2 linked regions of the Oryctolagus cuniculus genome follow. The protein of the gene in region 2 interacts with the protein of the main gene of each other region in a pairwise test. Links are inferred from orthologs where the notes say so. Each region holds a gene or a part of one and is shown on either strand. Other genes may lie near its edges.

Region 1 (4,468 bases), on a different chromosome or scaffold from region 2:
CGGCGACGGCAGCGAGTCGAGCGGCTGTGCGTAGGGGCTCTCGGGGCGCGCGGCGGCCGGCGCGGGGCCCGCGTTCTTCTGGGCGCTGATGGCCTCCTCCAGGGCCGAGAAGATCTCGTTGCCCTGCCGCGTTTCGAACTCAAAGCTGCCCTCTCCGGACAAGCAGCGCCGGCCTGCCTCGAAGGAAAAGGTCACCTAGGCGGCAGGGGTCGGGGGTCAGGGGCCCGAGCAGGTGCACTGGGCCCTCCTGATCCTCTCCAACCTGGCTCGCGCTTTCGCTCACCTTGTCCCGCCCGAACCGTCGCAGAAACCTGTAGGGCCAGTGGAACAGCGGTGTGCCGGGCTCCGAGCCGCCCCACAGCTCCAGGGCGTTCTCCCCGGCTCGCAGGATATAGGAGCCCCGGAGCCGGCACCTCTCGCTGGCTTCTGTGGGTCTCATGGTCACTGCAAACTCCTTGCAAGGGACCACTGGGGAGCAGAGAGGAGAGAAAAGTCGGGGGGGAGGGGCGCAGCCTCCAGGAAAAGCATGACAAATTCCTCCGGCGTGGGGGTGGGGAGCACCTGTCTGGATGGTGTAGGCTAAGCTGGCCTGAGCCGGGTCATCCGGCCAGGTACCTCCACCCCCACGCGTGCCCACCCACCCTGGGCACATCCACGCGATCCTGTGCTCACAAGCTTCCTGTTGGTGTTGCCAGGCCCACAGCCTGGGCTTCATCTCACCTCTCACCCACAAACCAGCTGGCTCCCCAACTCCCACTGTTAACAGCTTCAGGGGAAGCCCGACCCTGCCTCCACTGCCTATGCCTGCAGGTGCCCTGGGGGGCGGGGGAGCTTAGGTGGACAGGGGACTCTGTGTCCACCGGCCATGCTTGTACAAGCACGCACACGCACGCACACACAGCCCAGAGGACAAGAGCCGGTGACAGTGGCACCTGCCTTGTCACCCAAAAGCTCCCAGCCACCTGAGACTTGCACAGGCAAACACAGAAAAGTTCTCTCTCTCTCTCTCTCTCTGTTCTCCCCTCCCCCAGACAATCGCTGGGGTCCCAGCACAGAGGACTTAAGAGCAGCAACCTCACGTGGGGCCCCTCAGCCTGAACAAGAGGGGGTGAACCAGCAGTGGTACTCAGGGAGGCGCCCCCCCCCCCCGCCTTAGGCAGCACCGGAAGCAAGGGGGAAAGGCTGATAAGGCGACTGGCCCAGGTTGGGGACAACCACGAGACAGGAAGACTCGGGGACCGGCAGGGGCCCCTCACCTCCTCCCACCCACACCCCAGGGAGCCTCACCTGTGGCCCGGCTGTACAGCTCGTTGATCTCCATGTGGGGCTGGCCACTCTTCCCCTCGGGCGCCTGCAGCTCCTTCCTCTGCCCCAAGGGGAGGAGGCCGGGGTCTCAGCACCTCTGCTGCCCTCCAGGCTGTCCTCCAACCCCTGAGCCCCTCGTGCACTCTCTGGACCCCCTCGTGCACTCTCTGGACCGGGCTGCCAACTCCAACACCCTGACCTGGACGTTCTAACACCTGCTCACCAGAAGTGGCCAGGGCCCCCCCCACCGCCCACCCCCACCCCTTCTGAACGACTCACGGGGAAAGCCAGCAGACAGATGGCCTGCAGCCAGTCACTGCGCTCTGCCGTGGGGGCTGCCAGGAGGTACAGGCGCTCCTTGGTCTCCAGGAGGAAGGCGCTGGTGTCCCGGGGGCTGCTGGCCTCGGAGCCGGCCTCGGCCACCCGCAGGCAGTCACTGAGGCGGATGACCCTCCGGCCAGCATCTCCCCGACGTGTCTTCTCTGGGCCCTCCTGGAGCTCCAGGCGGGCCAAGGCGCAGCCCGACTCCGCGTACAGCACGGCCCCGAACCGGCGCCATTTCTGAACCCAGATGCGTGGGAGAGGGAGCACCGGGAGGGAGCCACCCAGAGAGAGAGAGAGAGAGAGAGAGAGAGAGAGAGAGAGCTTGTGACCACAGGGAAGGGGGGCTTGCACGGGAGATGGGGACGGATAGGGAGGCAGAGAGGGTAACTGGGCCCACGGAGTGCGAGGACAGGAGATGGGCCAGAAGCAACAGAGAGGCTGCTGAAGGCAGCAGGAGGCACAGCAGTGAGCTGCAGGGGGAGCAGGCTGCAAGCAGCAGGAAGCCCGCCCTGCAGGTGCTGGTCTAGGGAAGAGCACCAGTGAGCTCCAGAGGTAGAGGAGGGGTTGGGGGGAGCGCCAGGGGCCTGCCCTGGACATGTTCACAAGAGAGGGCCTGTCTCCAGAAACTTCTCTCCGGGCCCCCTGAAGTTTTCTGCTTGACAGGTAGGGCGTTGGGGGGAGTGGAGGGAAAGGGGAGAGAAACAGAGACTGACTGGGTGGGTCCGCTGGGGACAAGACTTCCTCATTCAAGGAGGCCAGGAGAGGAGGAGGAGGTTGGACGCCCTGAGGCTGCAGCTCCCAGAGGCCCCTGACCTGCTTAATGCCAGCCAGACACTCCCCCCTCCACAAGGTGGGGAAAGTGAGGGAGACCCTCCAGCATCGTCCCGGATTGCCCCCCACCCCATGCCTTCCATCCCTGTCCAAGCTGCCCCAGGAGAGGAAGTCGAGAGAGAGCACAAGAACGCAGGAGCTAAGTCAGCACCCTCCTTCCTCTCCACCCCCGCCTGCGCCACGGGGCCTGGCTTGGGAGGCAAGCATGGTAAGGAAAGAGCCTGCCTGAGCTGGAACGCCGGCATAGTCCCCACAGAGGGATTGGGAGCCTGGAGCTCCCTCCAGCCCCTGCACCCAGCCCCTGTGCCCAGCCCCTGCGCCCAGCCCGGCTCCCACCTTCGCAAACGCTTGGTGCTGCTGCAGGTACAAGCAGCCCTGCTTCACAGCCACGGCCTCCATCGTCTCACCATCTCGGGCCCCTGGCGTCCACTCCCTCCTTCCACTCCGCCCTCTGCCTCTCCCCTCTCTTCTCAGCCTGTGTTCCCCCTTCTCGCAAGTTCAAGTTCATTTCCTCTCTGCCTAGGGTTTTCTGCACTGTTCTAGCCTGCTCGCTGACGACAGGCCGATAGGCTTGTGGTTTCTTGCTCTGCGTGCGTGTGTGTGTGTGTGTGTGTGTGTGTTTGGTTTCTGATGAGTGAGCTTCACACTCAAGCTTCCTGCATTTCCAGCCACTAAGAAATAATGCCCCCAAAAAGCCAAATTCCAGCTCCTCCAAGAGCAGCAACTCAGGGACACGGGACGGCATGGGGAGTCACCAGAGAGAGCGGCTGCCACCCAAGAACAGTGAGGCCCAGAAACCCGGTCCGCGAGTCAGACTCAGAGCAGCAGGCCCCAGGCCCCAGGCCCCAGGCCCCGGCTGGCTGCTGCTGAGCACCCCCGAGCTGGAAGAGGCCTTAGAAAGCAATGGGCCCAAATCACTTAGAAACGAGGAAACCCAGGCTCACAGCAGGGTCTCAGCACTTGCTCAAGGTCGTCAAGCTGGAAGCCAGGTCTCTCAACTGGCTGAGGGCTGCAGCACACTCAGCACTGCACACACACACACCTTCCCACTCCGTGGGAACACTGCCTCACCCTGCCCACCGCCCGCCCACACAGTCTGGAACCAGGGACATCCCCTCTGGAGCCAGCACTGACCACCAGCAAGTGCATCTCAGCTGTTGGATCTCACCTTTTTTCCAGGCTTTGGGAGCATCAGGAAGTCACAGGGCTCATCTGGAAGGGATTAAAAAAAAGATTTATTATTTATTTGAAAGGTAGAGTTACACACGGTGGGAGAGAGAGAGAGAGGGAGAGAGAGAGAGAGAGAGAGAGAGAGAGAGAGAGAGAGAGAGAATCTTCCATCTGCTGGCTCACTCCCCAAATGGCCTCAACAGCCAAGGCTGAGTCAGGTTGAAACCAGGAGCCAGGAGCCTCATCTGGGTCTCCCACGTGGGTGCAGGGGCCCAGGCACTTGGGCCATCTTCTACTGCTTCCCCAGGCCATAGCAGGGAGCTGGAAGGAAAGTGGAGCAGCCGGGACTTGAACACCATATGGGATGATGGCATCACAGGCAGTGGCTTAACCTGCACCACAACAGGGGGTCCTGCAAGCGTGATCTACGTAGCAACAACTTCAATATAGATATTTTGTTTGTTTGTTTTTTTGTTTGTTTTTTTTGACAGGCAGAGTGGACAGAGAGAGAGAGAGAGACAGAGAGAAAGGTCTTCCTTTGCTGTTGGTTCACCCTCCAATGGCCGCCGTGGCCGGCGCACCACGCTGATCCGAAACCAGGAGCCAGGTGCTTATCCTGGTCTCCCATGGGGTGCAGGGCCCAAGCACTTGGGCCATCCTCCACTGCACTCCTGGGCCACAGCAGAGAGCTGGCCTGGAAGAGGGGCAACCGGGACAGAATCCGGCACCCCGACCGGGACTAGAACCTGGTGTGCCGGCGCCGCAAGGCGGAGGATTAGCCTATTGAGCCACGGCACCGGCCCAATATAGATATTTTTAAAAGTTTTATTTATCTTAT
Region 2 (4,529 bases):
CAGCAGGTTAAAGCCTCAGTCTGCAGCAGAAGCAGCTCCTGGCTCCAGATTGGCACAGCTCTTGTCATGCAGCCATCTGGGGGAGTGAACCAGCGTTTGGAAGACTCCCTCCCCTCTCTCTGCCTCTCTGTAAGCCTGTCTTTCAAATAAACAAAATAAATCCTTAAGAAAAAAAAAAGTGACTTGGTCATTCCACAGAAACATAAAATATATCAACTCAATAATTTTATGAAAAAGTGACTTGATCTGTCCTCAGTAGTTAGCACTGTAGGTCATACTGATAATATAATGAGATTGGGCAGTTCTCTGTTCAACATTATTTACTTATTCTTTTTAACAGATTTTTTTTTATTTGACAGGTAGAGTTACAGACAGTGAGAGAGAGAGAGAGAGAGAGCAAGGTCTTCCTTCCGTTGGTTCACTCCTCAAATGACTGCCACAACTGGAGCTGCGCCGATCTGAAGCCAGGAGCCAGGTGCTTCTTCCTGGTCTCCCATGAGGGTGCAGGGCCCAAGCATTTGGGCCATCCTCCACTGCCCTCCCAGGCCACAGCAGAGAGCTGGACTGGAAGAGGAGCAGCCGGGACTAGAACCAGCGCCCATATGGGATGCCAGTGCCGCAGGCGGAGGATTAACCAAGTGATCCACAGCGGCATCGGCCTTTAACAGATTTTTTAAGATTTATTTAATTTATTTGAAAGGCCAAGTGACAGAGATGGAATAACAATAGAGAAAGAGATCTTTCATCACTGGTTCACTCCCTAAATGGCTGCAACAGCTAGGGCTGAGCTAGGCCAAAGCCAGGATCCAGGAGCCCCATCTGGGTCCCCCATGTTGACGCAGGAATACCTGCTGTCTCCCAGGGAGCACATTAGCAGGGAGCTGGATTGGAAGTGGAGCAGCCAGGACTCCACATCAGGGCTCCATGCCTCAATCAAGTATGCTGGCACTGCAAGCAGTGGTGTAACCCGCTGCGCCACAACAACCACTCCTTAAATAATTTTTAAAGTACTCATTAAGATCTGAGGTTATGGCCGGCGCCACAGCTCACTAGGCTAATCCTCCGCCTTGCGGCGCCGGCACCCCAGGTTCTAGTCCCGGTCAGGGCACCGGATTCTGTCCCGGTTGCCCCTCTTCCAGGCCAGCTCTCTGCTGTGGCCAGGGAGCGCAGTGCAGGATGGCCCAAGTCCTTGGGCCCTGCATCCCATGGGAGACCAGGAGAAGCACCTAGCTCCGGCCATCGGATCAGCGCGGTGCGCCAGCCACAGCAGGCTGGCCACGGTGGCCATTGGAGGGTGAACCAACAGCAAAAGGAAGACCTTTCTCTCTCTCTCTCTCTCTCACGGTCCACTCTGCCTGTCCAAAAAAAAAAAAAAAAAAAAAAAAAAATCTGAGGTTATATGGTTAAGGAAAACTTCAGATAACTGAAGTTTAGTTTGAATTTAACATATTACAAATTTCAATAGTTCCTCATCCACTCAAGAGATATTTAGAATCTGCACACTATGTGCCACCTACTGGGGTGAGTTTAAGAAAAGGTAGTCTCTGTTACTGTGTGGCTTTCAAATTGCTGGACCATGACAAAAGAATATGATCCAGTATGAGTTGTCTCTTAATTTTGAGGTTTGTCTTTGAGACCTACTTGCCATCAAATCCACTTTGGTAATATTCCCTCAATCACCTACACTGGGTCCTGGAACTACTGGCTGTGAGAGTAAGCAAACATCCTGGCACACACAGGAAGCTCATGCATCCTTGTATTTTCAAGAGTTTTGTTCCCAATGCAGAATGTTGGTTTATTTCTTATCAAGCACCATAAAAACGGGAATATTGTAAGTATTCAAAGGTGGTAAAGAGATCAGTCTGAACCAAAATGATCCAAAGAAAGTTACTGAAATGAGGTGATTCTTGGGATGGTTTTGAATGGGCAGGAATCCCCCGGGGGGGCGAACCAATGTAGCAACGGAAACTGAAGACTTCAGACATTTTGTTTTGAATTATTAATGTTTTACGGTCACTGTCATTTCCACGACACCTTAAGTTAAGATTTACATTAGTCTGGATTTTAACAGAATGACCAGTCTCTGGACAGCGGAGAGCCGGCGGGCACATGACACGCAGGAGGGCCCCGGAAACCAGCGTGCTGCCCGTGGGCAAGCGAGGCATGGAGAGGGAGTATGGAAGCCAGCGCAGGGGGATGCGGTTACACGGCTCCAAGTCCTAAGGCTGGCCTTTCCCACCGCTTCAAACACACGAGCAGAAGTCGTGCCATATCTAACACGGCCCGGAGCGGGGGCTCCTCTCCACGCCCTCGCCTCGCACGGCCCGGGGCCGGCTCTGGGGGCTGCACGGCGGCCGGCCGGGCTCGCTCTCACCTGCGCCTGGATGTAGAGGGAGATGCAGCCGTGCGAGAGCCGGTACCTGCGCAGCAGCCGCAGGCATTTCACCAGGTGCTCCTCGCCCGCCGACAGCTCCTCGGTGTCGATGTGGTTCACCCCGAGGTGGAACTCTATAACCGCCAGCCTGACCGCCCGCTGGGCGACGGGCCCTTCGGCCTCCACCACCTCCGTGGGCAGCCCCAGGGCGTGGTCCCCAGCGCCCAAGCCCTCGTCGGCCTGCAGCCGCTCATCCTCGTCGTCGGGCGCGGGGCCGAGCAGCGCCTTGACCTCTTCCAGCAGCGCTCTGGCGCTGTATTTGGACTTGTACGGTTCCTTCTCCGGGTTTTTATGCAGTTCCACTCGCGACAGGGCCAGCGCCGCCTGGAATTTCTCTCGGACCTCGGCCCACTGCGCACTCGCCATAGCGGCCCCTACAGCCGGGGCTTTCTCAGTGTTTGCAGTCGGGACTCCCGCCTTCCTTCTGCTTTGCGACACTTCACTTACGGCTCTCGACAGGTCGGGCTGCGGCAGATCGGCAGCCAATTAAAGTCCGCTTGGGGAACCGCAATAGGTTCGGCAGTGACCAATGGGAAGGCGAGGTGGTCGCCATGGCAACTGCTGTCTAGAAAATAGGTCCCCGAGGGTGTCCCCGCCTCCAGCCCCGCCCCACTACGTCGTGGTGTCGTCTCCTGTTAGTTCACCCTGTGAAGTGTGTGTATGTATAGTGCATATTAAAATGTTTAATATCCGCTTACTTTACCGAAACGTTTTGGAATATAGTTTACAAAAATATCAGGGCCGGCATTGTAGCGTAGCGGGTTAGGCCCCCGCCTGTACCCCCGGCATCCTGTATGATCACCGGTTCGAGTCCCGGCTGCTCCACTTCAGTCAAGCTCCCTCCTAATGTGCCTGGAAAAGCAGTGGAAGAAGCTGCCTCCACGAGTGGGAGACCTGGATGAAGCTCCTAGCTCCCTCCTGGACCAGCCCTGGCCATTGCAGCCATTTGGAGAATGAACCAAGCCGATGGAAGATTTGTCAGTCTCTTGCTCTCTCTGTAACTCTGCCTTTCAAATAAAAAATAAATAAAAAAAATTTTAAAAAAGAAGGAAAATAGCTAATGGATGTAAACTGGAAGGCAACCGACCTTTGAGATTAAGGTATACCCCACCCATCGCTGGTTAAGTTTCTTTGGAAAAGGCTCTGCTCTCTAACAGGGATCGCTTACTAGGACATGAATTCTTGATGGAAAGTTATGGATAGGAGCACTCACCGGTAGGTACCTATTTCACTGAGCCTGGAATACAGAGGTGAACTGCCCGAGGTAACAGGCTGGAAGACCGGTTACCACTGAAGTAACCAAGTGGGAAAGGGAGACTTTTACCAAGCTCTAGCCACATGAAGTGCCTTGAGATAGGTATTTTTATTTTTTTAATTATTTTTATTTTATTTATTTATTTATTTATTTGACAGGCAGAGTGGACAGTGAGAGAGAGAAACAGAGAGAAAGGTCTTCGTTTTGCCGTTGGTGCACCCTCCAATGGCCGCTGCGACCGGTGCACCGCGCTGATCCGAAGGCAGGAGCCAGGTGTTTCTCCTGGTCTCCCTTGGGGTGCAGGGTCCAAGCACTTGGGCCATCCTCCACTGCACTCCCTGGCCACAGCAGAGAGCTGGCCTGGAAAAGGGGCAACCGGGACAGAATCTGGTGCCACGACCGGGACTAGAACCCGGTGTGCTGGCGCCGCAAGGCGGAGGATTAGCCTAGTGAGCCGCGGCACCGGCGAGATAGGTATTTTTAAAAACGTACCAATTTGGGGCTGGCGCTGTGGTGCAGTGGGTTAATGCCCTGGCCTGAAGCACCAGCATCCCATATGGGCACCGGTTCTAGTCCCGGCTGCTCCACTTCCAATCCAGCTCTCTGCTATGTCCTGGGATAGCAGTAGAAAATGGCCCAAGTCCTTGGGCCCCTATACCTACGTGGGAGACCTGGAAGAAGCTCCTGGCTCCTGGCTTCAGGTCGGTGCAGCTCCGGCTGTTGCGGCCATCTCGGGAGTGAACCATCGGATGGAAGACCTCTCTCTCTGTCTCTACCTCTCTCTGTAACTCTATCTTTCAAATAAATAAAATAAATCTTAAAAAAAAACAACAAACGTAC

The links.
Region 1: the proteins of KIFBP (region 2) and DOK2 interact in a two-hybrid assay, tested with the Homo sapiens proteins (2 studies listed by BioGRID and IntAct). The two-hybrid records come from large-scale screens. The link is inferred for Oryctolagus cuniculus from reciprocal best matches to the Homo sapiens genes KIFBP and DOK2.

What each region holds. Positions count from the first base shown.
Region 1 is NC_091439.1:1,379,300-1,383,767, reverse strand, and holds the start of DOK2 (docking protein 2), read right to left. Parts: upstream 3,061-4,468; 5' UTR 2,860-3,060; coding exon 2,797-2,859; intron 1,867-2,796; coding exon 1,585-1,866; intron 1,367-1,584; coding exon 1,288-1,366; intron 469-1,287; coding exon 284-468; intron 196-283; coding exon 1-195. UniProt on the Homo sapiens protein: DOK proteins are enzymatically inert adaptor or scaffolding proteins. They provide a docking platform for the assembly of multimolecular signaling complexes. DOK2 may modulate the cellular proliferation induced by IL-4, as well as IL-2 and IL-3.
Region 2 is NC_091446.1:60,775,220-60,779,748, reverse strand, and holds the start of KIFBP (KIF-binding protein), read right to left. Parts: upstream 2,897-4,529; 5' UTR 2,801-2,896; coding exon 2,375-2,800; intron 1-2,374. UniProt on the Homo sapiens protein: Activator of KIF1B plus-end-directed microtubule motor activity. Required for organization of axonal microtubules, and axonal outgrowth and maintenance during peripheral and central nervous system development.